Linked DNA regions of Schizosaccharomyces pombe. The protein of the gene in region 1 binds, or shares a complex with, the protein of each later gene. Each region holds a gene or a part of one and is shown on either strand. Other genes may lie near its edges. The genes, in order: cul4, clr4 and raf1.

Evidence for each region.
Region 2: cul4 (region 1) and clr4 share a complex: the UniProt entries of both Schizosaccharomyces pombe proteins name them as parts of the clr4 methyltransferase complex.
Region 3: cul4 (region 1) and raf1 share a complex: the UniProt entries of both Schizosaccharomyces pombe proteins name them as parts of the clr4 methyltransferase complex.

The regions. Positions count from the first base shown.
Region 1 is NC_003424.3:3,450,836-3,454,593, forward strand, and holds the start of cul4 (CLRC complex subunit, cullin 4), read left to right. Parts: upstream 1-2,109; 5' UTR 2,110-2,220; coding exon 2,221-3,758. UniProt on the Schizosaccharomyces pombe protein: Required, indirectly, for activation of ribonucleotide reductase through the degradation of the protein spd1, thereby supplying deoxyribonucleotides for DNA replication and repair. Also has a role as a scaffold for assembling ubiquitin ligases.
Region 2 is NC_003423.3:456,802-460,559, forward strand, and holds the start of clr4 (histone lysine H3-K9 methyltransferase (Suv39) Clr4), read right to left. Parts: upstream 1,610-3,758; 5' UTR 1,247-1,609; coding exon 1-1,246. UniProt on the Schizosaccharomyces pombe protein: Histone methyltransferase which contributes to the establishment of heterochromatin by specifically methylating histone H3 to form H3K9me. Part of the Clr4 methyltransferase complex (ClrC).
Region 3 is NC_003421.2:100,603-104,360, reverse strand, and holds the start of raf1 (CLRC ubiquitin ligase complex WD repeat subunit Raf1/Dos1), read left to right. Parts: upstream 1-2,096; 5' UTR 2,097-2,189; coding exon 2,190-3,758. Other genes in the region: rhp16 (ATP-dependent helicase), read left to right, coding at 1-1,676. UniProt on the Schizosaccharomyces pombe protein: Component of the Clr4 methyltransferase complex (ClrC) which contributes to the establishment of heterochromatin by specifically methylating histone H3 to form H3K9me.

The DNA.
Region 1 (3,758 bases):
CAGCACGTTCTTCCCGTAGATGTGCGGCTTCAGGAAGCGAGACAGTTGATATATCAGCATCCTCATCTTCTTGAATGTTTACAGGATGACGCCTTCTTATGGAAGAAGCAATAGAGTTGGCAGAGGAGCGCAACGCATCAACTCTTTTAATTGGTAAGCTTTGTCCTTGACGAACACGAGGTAAGTTAAAAGCAAAATGAGAGTCCCTTGTTCTCGTAAACGACAAAGCCAACGTATTAATCCTTTTACCAAGCATGAAAAATGCAATACTGCTTCCATGAACAATGATAGAACTTAGAACCAGGAAACAAACTACTGGCCACATTACTTGTATGCAATACCAGTTTGGAATTTCAGGGTTTTCGATAGCATCATTAGGCTCAGGTACAGTGCTATGTACTTCTAATTCGGCTCGTGCAACCAAACAAGTATACAGTGCACCTACACCAATAGGACCAAAATGACCAGCAAAGAGAGCTTCTCGCCAATTGATAATATCAGGAACAAATGATTTAAATAATAAAACGGCAGGAATTCTCCTTGCAATTAAAATACATATAGCCAATACAACGAGTCGCCATACACTCAAATCCATATGTGGCATGTGAAATTGAGGCCAGGGCATGATAGCACCCACGTATACAAAAAAGGAAAGATTGAGAAGAAGGTCGATAACGTTGGAAACATGAGATTCTTCTGTTTTTTTCGAAAACCATGAGTCCCAAGAGAAAGCAGCACCAGCACAAAAAGAAACTAACAAATCATCGACACCAATGATGGTACCAATACCACCACAAAATAGTGCTAAAACGAAGTAGAATACAAGAAAACTTTCACGATCCATTAATCCTCGACGTTCCGAAAATTTAATCATCTTACGGGCTATTACACCTATTATTGCACCTAGCACACAGCCAAAGGTGCATTCGTATAAAATAATGATACATACCCAATCGCGGCCAGCATGTCGGGCAGGTTTCTCAATAATTAAATAAATAGCTAAATACAGAAAAGGAATTGCCATGCCATCATTACATCCAGATTCGGCCAAAAGCATGTTCCTAAGATGACCTGGGACTCGACGTGCAAATTTACCTTTACCGACAATAGAAGAAGCCAACACTGGATCTGTCGCAGTAATACATGCCGCTATAGCTAATGACTCCAGAAAAGAGAGTCTGGGAATTAAAGCATACATGAAGCCAGTACTTACTAGCCATCCAAAAATCATAACAGGCAAAAGCATAACAAACATACTGCGCCAATGTCGAAGCATATATGCTCTTGGAAGTTCAGCGCCAGCTGCAAAAACTTCGACAACTAAAAGGACTCGAGCAAGTTCCTCGGTGATGTAGTCGGTATTACCCCAGCTGGTGGGAACAAACAGTTTTGCAACGTAAGGACCAAAAATGAGACCCGTAGCAGTTGCCATAGCTATATTAAGTTAGTATGCTTCACATATATGAAGAATTGAAGAGTAAAAATAATATGGTGGAATATGCACACTGAAATATCTAGAGATCGCTCTTTATTTAACGAACGTAAACCGAAAGAATAATCTGGAATTACTACCAGCTAAATCAAACAATTCAAGTATCGTTTCAACACGCAAATCAAACAATTGTGCTTTGCAACCACTAATAACTTACTTGCTTCGCCCAAAAAAAGCTTTTCCTTAATAATTAAAGAACATAACATAAATAATGAAGTAAATCCTCCTATAATAGCATATGCTAGATGTGGTTTGGAAATCTCGACTTGACTCCATGCCATTCTCTTTCCAAGTCAACCTGACCTTGTAATTTCAAACCTATATAAACAAAAAGACAAATAAAAAACTTTATAGAAACTATAGAGAAGCTAATAGTTTACTCAAGCACCCAATTGTTTCAACAACTGGCGTTCGTTGTGGATAGTGGAGGATAAACATGGAAAACAATAGTTAGCTAATTGCAATGAGTCGCAGCTTGAAAATCTCTAAAAAACTGAAGAATTTCTAAAGTGAAAAAAAAGGCTTATTTAGTGAGATGGACACAAAAAAATAGCTTGAAAGTGAAATAGGAACTTCGTACCTTGTCTATATGTGCTGCTCTAAACCGACTTTTCTGAACGTCACTACTTGAGCACAAAATTGGTTTTTGCAGGTGAAACTATAGTAGTGAAAGAGCTCAGGCTTTCCACACATCTATTTATTACTTTTTATTTCACATTAGCACACCTATGCCTCCAGAAGCAAAACGTATCGTGGTTAAAGGCTTTGACCCACGAAAGTCGAGGCAAAGACAAGAGACCTACTATGTGACGATGATAGATCGTTTGAACATGGCTTTGCAAGTAGTGATGGCCGGTTTAGGCTTAAAAACAGGTTACCAAGAGTTATATTCGGGAGTCGAAAATTTAACAAGAGCGGATCAAGCATCTCGGTGCTTTAACATCCTACAACATCATATGTCTTCAGGAATCCAGCTTTTAAAGGATTCTGCGGAGTCTTTTATACAGCTTGAAGGGACTGAAACAGACACTAATGCATGCACCGTAGTAGTAGGGTGTTGGAACAAATGGTTGGAAAGAGTCGAGATTGTTCAAAACATATTCTATTACATGGACAAAACATTTCTTTCTCACCATCCAGATTACCCGACAATCGAAGAGCTGTCTCTGTCACTTTTTCGTGAAAAGTTGATGGCAGTCAAAAACATACAAATTCCCTTTTTGAACTCTCTTCTCCAAAGCTTTGAAAATTTACATAGCTCTAAAAGCACTGATCACGCCTATTTACAGGATGCGATGTTAATGCTACATCGCACGGAAATGTATAGCTCTGTGTTTGTTCCCATGTACTTAGTTATGCTAAGCCGTTTTTATGATACGGAGTCTAGCCAAAAAATTCAAGAGCTGCCTTTGGAAGAGTACTTGGAATATGCGATGAGTTCGCTTGAGCGGGAGGATGCCTACGTTGAAAAGTTTGATATTGTGCGCGATAAAAAGTCCATTCGAGAGACTGTTCAAAGGTGTCTAATTACTTCACATCTTGACACACTCACAAAGGGTATAAGTCAGTTCATTGAAAAAAGGGATGCCCATTCTTGTAAACTACTGTATGCATTACTGCAATTCAATCATGAAACCGAATATTTAATTCAGCCCTGGTCGGATTGCTTAGTGGACGTTGGTTTCAAGCTCGTTAACGATGAATCAAAGGATGATACTTTGGTTCAAGAGCTGTTATCGTTCCACAAATTCTTACAAGTCGTGGTGGATGAAAGTTTCCTTCATGATGAAACCCTTTCGTATGCCATGCGAAAAGCCTTCGAGACGTTCATTAATGGGGCAAAGGGATCTCAAAGAGAAGCTCCAGCTAGGCTTATTGCAAAATACATTGATTATTTGCTACGAGTTGGCGAACAGGCTTCAGGGGGTAAGCCTCTGAAAGAAGTATTTTCGGAAATTTTGGATCTTTTCCGCTACATCGCTAGTAAAGATATCTTTGAGGCGTATTACAAGCTGGACATTGCAAAACGGCTTCTCCTTAATAAATCTGCAAGTGCGCAAAATGAATTAATGCTTCTGGATATGCTTAAGAAAACCTGCGGTAGTCAGTTTACTCACTCTTTGGAGGGTATGTTTCGAGACGTTAACATTTCAAAAGAATTTACTTCTTCTTTTCGTCACTCAAAGGCTGCTCATAACCTTCATAGAGATTTGTATGTTAACGTCTTGTCCCAAGCTTACTGGCCCTCTTATCCAGAATCACATAT
Region 2 (3,758 bases), on another chromosome or scaffold:
TATTAGGTGAACAGGAGTGGTTAAAAAAACGAGAGACATCTCCATAGTTCTGAGCATCCACTGTATACTCGCTAGCATCATCAAACATGTCTAAATCAAATAAATAGGTAATACCGTCGTCGTCATAATTTTTGTCACGCTTGGCGGCCTCTGCTGAAGTTATGACTTCTCCTAAATAGCAAGTGATAAACGTGCCAGCAGGGGCAAATCGAAGCGAACGTACACCCCATCCTTTTTCTTTTGTTTTAAATATTTCAAGCGGAAGAGTTCTACCACGTTGAACAACGCGATTAGGACACTCCATTGAACAAGAACAAAAAGAGTTGCATTCATATATAACGGCACCCGTATCTGCACGGACCCGCCCCTGTGCATCATAGGCAAAATGAGTTGGCTCATCCAAATCATCTAAACACTCACAACGAGAAGGATTGTTAAGGTCACAACCGCCAAGGGACGAGCAATTGCATCCAGATTGAAAATTTGGATCAGGCGGGATAACACCTTGTGTTAAGCGGTACTGGCTAATGAATTGAAAATCTAAAGATGGACAGGGTTCATCGTCAACTTCATTGACAAGCGTTACTTCGGGTCCTTCAATTTCCCGCAGTTTCTTACGAAATAGCTCTCTCTTTTCGTAAAAACTTAGATGGGTATAAGAGTCAAGTTTGGAAGGGTTTCGCGGTTTTGTGAGAATTGAAGATGTTTTGGGGGATGTAGCTTCTTTAATAGAATTGGAAACTAGTTCTCTTTTTTGAGATTCCTCCTTCACTTCATTTCTCGTCTTCCCCAGCTTCTTTGAATTTGTATGAAGACTATCGTCTAAAATGATACTAGTATCATTCGTCGTCAGAGCGGTGGATTGTTTTCGAGATTGTCTCTTGGTAGTTTGAGAAGAAAAAACCTTTTTATTTTCCTTTTTTACATTCAATTCCCGCGAAAATCTTTGAGAACGAGGCACTGACTTTGAAGTTTGATGTTGGTGCTTTTGTCTACTGTTTGGATGTGGATTGCTCGCATGGTGCGGTGAATCCGAGTCGGAGTTACTTCCCTTTAGTCTCCTCTTCCGCCTTTTCCATTCTGCTAAAACGGCAGAACATCCAGAAAGGTTCTCAGGGGGCTCCCAAGTATCACTTCTAGATGAATAGTTCAACCATCGAATGCGATATAGTTTGACAGCTCCATTACGATCCAATTTTTCGTCCACAATCCTTTCAACTTCATACTCCTCTTGTTTAGGCGACATTCGCAAAACTAATAACCTCTTGTTTGGTGAGATGATTTTTAGCAAACCCTCCAAATGATGCCTGAACGAATTTAAAAAATAAAATAAGGAGAGGGTTTATGTTAATATGACAATTGCTAAAGGACTAAAATAATAGACGACCGCGAACTCAGAATATAAAACTGAATGTTTTTTAGTAATGAGCAATAAATATATAAAGTCGATGTGTTCAATTTCAGAGCAAAATTGAAGCTCTGAAATTTGAAAAAGGTATCAAGTACAAAGTAATTTTAAAGTTATAATATACAAATCAACTTTCAAACAACAATCCAAACTAGCAATGCCAATTCATGTTATAACAGTTTGTATTTCGACCAGGTTGTTGAATCGCACTCCTTTACAGAAGTCAAAATTTAAAGAAACGGAGAATCGCCCCGTAAAGGAAATACGGTGTTAACAACACACTGCTCTAATGAAGAACACGTAACGTATCACTATATGTCATATGTTAGGATATTACTTTAGAGCAGTTTATTGATAAATGCGCAAAACCATTTTCATATTTACATAGACGCTGGCTAATGAAGACTAAAAAGATTATAAATTGAGCTGCAACTGAACTGAGGAATGAACTTCAGTTATAAGCTATATTAGTTATAGGTCACAATGCAATCTAGATAATTTAATACCTATACTCAATTGCTACTTGTAATACCTGTGTATTGTAATACGTTAACAAGGAAAAATTACCGCAGTTCTATGTTATCGTTAAAGCAGATACCAAACTGCGTAGCTGACTTTGTATCAGTGTGCAGCACGGAGTCTAACCCATCTGTGTCTAAATAAGAAAGTTGAGCGTTTTTAAAAAACAATAGTATGTTCAATTGCTCTATAATAATAAAAGAAATGAAACAACAGTAAGATTGTCCATAGAAAAACTTTTTACACAATTAGTCGCATCGCCATTTTTATAATGATTAAAAACTATTATATTTGACTATCGGGTTTTGATTTCGGTACAAAGAATGCCTATAAACAAGCTTCTCGCAAAATTAATAAAGTAAGGAACCAAATACCTTTGCATTCGAGCATTCATTTTTTAATAATGGTTAAACTTGAGCTCATTAGATAAACAAGGTCAATTAAAAAAGATTGAGTCTCCAGCCAACTTTCAGAACGCGATAACCCATAACCCATTCTAGAAGCACATGTTGGTATTTGGTTTTTTCGCTTGTTAATTTTGAATGACAATGGAGAAGTCATGTACTCCATTTCTGGATAAATTTTCTGCAGGCTCTAAAGGTTGATTAACAGTAGCCAATCCAAAATGTTGCTAATTTGGTTCAATTTTGAATTGCAAATCGGTGGTGCCAACATGCCTTAAAAAGTTCCATTTAAATTTAAACTTTGAAAAAATGAATAAAGAAAACAAAAAACCATACATGCTTTGACCCATATCTCTAGTGCTTCTTAATACTCTATGTGAAAGCTCCCTTGATAATTGTCGATCTCAATTAGATGGTGCGATAAATTCACCAGACTACAAACTCAAAATTTGATTGCAGAATACCTACTGTACATTAGATATATTTTTTGAACGAAGCCTTTAATCCTATCCCTTCATACCATAAACAAAAAAACAAAGCCCAATATAACATGCCAGGGATTCAATATTACCAATGATGCCTCTAGTGAATGAGAATGAAATTTCAGATCCATATACTGTGCACAAAAGATTCAACAAATACACTTTGAATGTAACTAATATTGTAGCCACCATACCGGGTTGCGAAATTTTCAATGTGGAATAGGCCATACCGAAGACAAAATCTCTGTATATATTTACGATTTTTCAATTGTATTTCTTGCTTTTAATCTTGCTTTATTATTTATTATTTGAAGTGTGAAAGGACAAGATGTAAATATATTAACAATTGCATATTCGCCTCTTATAGAATTATGACGGAAATTACCTACTTGCCGAACGAATGTGAAAATAAATAAAAGTTCTTTAGCATCTTTGGAAAAAAGAGATTAATTTCGTTTAGTTAAAGCATTACCATATAAACGGCTTTGTACGATGTGCATGAGCAAAGTCCATAGATATCAAACAAATGAGAGTTAACCCGTTCAAAATAAATAGTATCTTTTCAACAAGATTCCTTCTCCAAGTTATTAGAAGAAAAATCTTGACATGTATTTGATAGTCTTTCAATTGAAAAAAAAAATATATATATATACGCAGAAAACAGGGGTTTTCGTTATTATTTACATGCGAATTAGTTTTTATTTTTAACTGATATCGTATTTTATAAATAACACATGTATTTTTATATAATTTTATAAGATTTCCGCCAACATACGCTATATACTTTCTTTTGTTTATAACGGAGCGAACGAGTAGTTCTACGACCAAATCGGTTTTGACAGTGCGTGTAAAATTACACAGCTGCTTTTCCAAGAATTTATGAGAGAATTTCTCGTCTAAGATACAATTCGGAGAAATCGAGGACTGGAAAACCAGTCGCAGTTT
Region 3 (3,758 bases), on another chromosome or scaffold:
CCTTGGTTGTTGCTCCGGTTGTAGCAATTATGCAATGGAAAGAAGAGATTGATACACATACCAATAAAGCACTGAGTACATATCTTTATTATGGCCAGGCTCGTGATATTTCAGGAGAAGAGCTTTCGAGCTATGATGTTGTACTAACGAGTTACAATGTAATTGAATCAGTTTACAGGAAGGAACGCAGCGGATTCAGAAGGAAAAACGGTGTTGTAAAAGAAAAGTCATTACTTCATCAAATGGAGTTTTACCGAATTATACTTGATGAGGCCCATGGTATCAAATCAAGGACTTGTAACACTGCCAGAGCTGTTTGTGGCTTAAGAACGACAAGAAAGATATGTCTTTCAGGAACACCTTTGCAAAACCGTATTGGAGAATTATTTTCACTTCTTCGGTTCCTACGGGCAGATCCTTTTGCTTACTACTATTGCTTGCAATGTGAATGTAAATCTCTGCACTGGAGATTTTCCGATAGAAGTAATTGCGACGAATGCGGCCATAAACCAATGAGTCATACTTGCTATTTTAACGCTGAAATGCTAAAACCAATACAAAAGTTTGGATACGAAGGTCCAGGAAAGCTAGCTTTTAAAAAGGTGCATTCTTTATTAAAACACATTATGTTACGTCGAACAAAATTAGAGAGGGCTGATGACCTTGGATTACCTCCTCGAGTCGTTGAAGTGAGGAAAGATTTATTCAACGAAGAAGAGGAAGATGTATACCAATCTTTATATATGGATTCAAAAAGAAAATTTAATACATATCTTGCTGAAGGTGTCGTTTTGAATAATTATGCAAACATTTTCCAGCTAATTACACGAATGCGCCAAATGGCAGATCATCCTGACCTGGTGTTAGCTAGCAAACGAAAAACAGTTGATATTGAAAATCAGGAAAATATCGTCTGTAAGATTTGTGACGAAGTCGCTCAAGATGCTATAGAATCACGTTGCCATCACACATTTTGTCGACTCTGCGTTACGGAATATATCAATGCAGCTGGTGATGGAGAAAATGTCAACTGTCCAAGTTGTTTCATTCCCTTAAGCATAGATCTTAGTGCCCCTGCTTTAGAAGATTTTTCTGAAGAGAAGTTTAAGAATGCATCGATTTTGAATAGAATTGATATGAATAGTTGGCGTTCATCTACAAAAATTGAAGCATTAGTTGAGGAGCTTTACTTACTTCGTAAGAAGGACCGAACACTGAAGTCGATTGTTTTCTCTCAATTTACTTCTATGTTAGATCTCATTCATTGGCGACTTCGAAAAGCCGGGTTTAATTGTGTAAAGCTAGATGGTGGTATGACCCCCAAAGCGAGAGCAGCTACTATTGAGGCTTTCAGTAACGATATTAATATTACCATTTTTCTAGTTTCGTTGAAAGCAGGTGGTGTTGCTTTGAACCTTACAGAGGCATCTCAAGTGTTTATGATGGATCCTTGGTGGAATGGAGCTGTACAGTGGCAGGCAATGGATCGAATTCATCGTATTGGACAAAAAAGGCCGATAAAAGTAATTACCCTGTGTATTGAAAATTCCATTGAAAGCAAAATTATTGAACTACAAGAAAAGAAAGCTCAGATGATACATGCAACCATAGATCAAGACGAAAAGGCTTTGAACCAGCTTTCTGTCGAGGATATGCAATTCTTGTTCTCAAATTAGAATTTTGTTTTTTTAAAATTAGCCCAAATTTTGGCCGTTTCCTTTTTATATACCTGCCATATCTCCCTTTGCATTTTTTTTGTTATCCTAGTTTTTTGGACCGTAATTCCCTAAGTCAGTATATGCGTTTTGGAAGTTTATTTATTTTTTTGGGGATTCCTATTAATGGATATAATTTATTATTGAGTTGTCAATAGAACGGTTAAAGTTTTTTAAAACAAATTAAACATAGTTAAGATTTTATCGCTTCAATGTAAAGTCATTAACTTACCTTTGACTGATAAATTTGTAATAATAGTAACTCAATAGATAATCATTATATCTTCAATTTTAATATAATATTTTCGATTTTGGAATGTCTTTATACTTTTTGGACTTAGTAAATTCTTTATATCAATCAGTGCCTTAAACTCACTCAGCAACCCATAACTTCTGTTAAACTAGTGAACTTGCACACTGAAGGATTAAAAGTAAAAAGCCCAATAATTTCTCAAACAATTTCCTATTTATGGCATGACTAATAGTTCACCACGGGTGAAAAGAAGAACGGATACGCAATATTTGCATTCCGTCTCTTCTAAATTGCCCAAGGTTGACTTTGACACAAATAACGAAGAATTTTTTGAGGAAGAATTTGAGATTTATGATCCTTTTTATCGCGCAGAGCTACCTTGCCCGAAACCGTCATTATCAATATCGAAGCATTCAATTGCAAAAGTTCCATCAAATGTAAATAAACGATTAGAATTGCAACTTTTACTAACGTCTGGGACATTCTTACCTAATTCACGTCCTTATTTGAGTGAAAGAGTGAGAAAACACACTCATTTACTTTCAAATAGCATTACAGGCGATGATAAACCATCACTCATTCATGTTGATTTTACACCAGAGGAATGCTTTATTTTACAAGAAGCTAAACTAAAATTTGGACCGGTAAACAGTGTTCAGTTCAATGATGCTTATTCGACCCACATTTCTCCAAAACTTCCTGGACGAGCATATGAAGATTGCCAGAAATTTGAAATTGATAACCCCAGCTTGTCTCCTGTGGACAAACATGGGGCCATCATTTTACGAACATACAAGAAGAATAAAAAATTACTTCCAGATTACTTAAAATCCTTTTACAATGCAGGCTCATCTTACTTCCAAAGAGAACAAGTTCATCAACTTATGGACGGGGAATCAGTTTTCTTTTTAAAACCTTGGAAACATTTCAATGAAACTAGTGGGGATACAGTGTGCGTTGCATATAATCCATTGTGCGAAAAATTTGCCTTAGGCAGCACAGCACAAGATGGTGCTTACAATAGACTAGGCAACTTATGGATTGGTGATTTTCACTCAGAAACTATTCAGTCATTGGAAAGCCATTATAAACTTAATCAAGTAGGAGAAAAGGAATACTCTACGATATCAGATTTGTGTTTTTCCAAGGGTAATCTGTTTCTTTATACAGGTGCATTCGACAATGCTGTGAAAGTCTGGGATATGGAAGGAAATTTATGTGGGATTTTTAATGCACCCACAGACTATATTCACAAGCTTGCTCTATCTGATGACGATTTACTTGCAGTAGCTTGCAAAAATGGTTATGGGTATTTATTGAGCACTGACAACTCAACAGGAGAAATTCTCACATCAGCTAATTTAATTTATCCAGAAGCTCTAGAAAAAGGGTACTCTGCATCTTTGATTGAATTTTCCAATTTTTTGGGAAGGTCATCTGACAAAGTCATTATTGGATATGATAGTTTTCATACTTCTAATAACAGAGGATGTTTGGCTCTGTTTGATGCTTCCACTGCCAGCTTCGTTCAAAAATTCAACACCGCTGACGAAGCATTTACCTCCTTATATATGCATCCTTCTCAAGTTGGATTTGTCGCAAGTAGCAATACTTTGAGCAATGGAAGAGTATATTATTTAGACACAAGAATGTATAAGGTTTGTCTCAACTTTACGACAACGCAAAAAGACATTAACCATGCCACCATAAGTAACTCTGGAATCTTGGTAACTTCTAGTGGTACAGATAACCAGACGTTTGTTTGGGATTCGCGTAAACCAGATAAACCT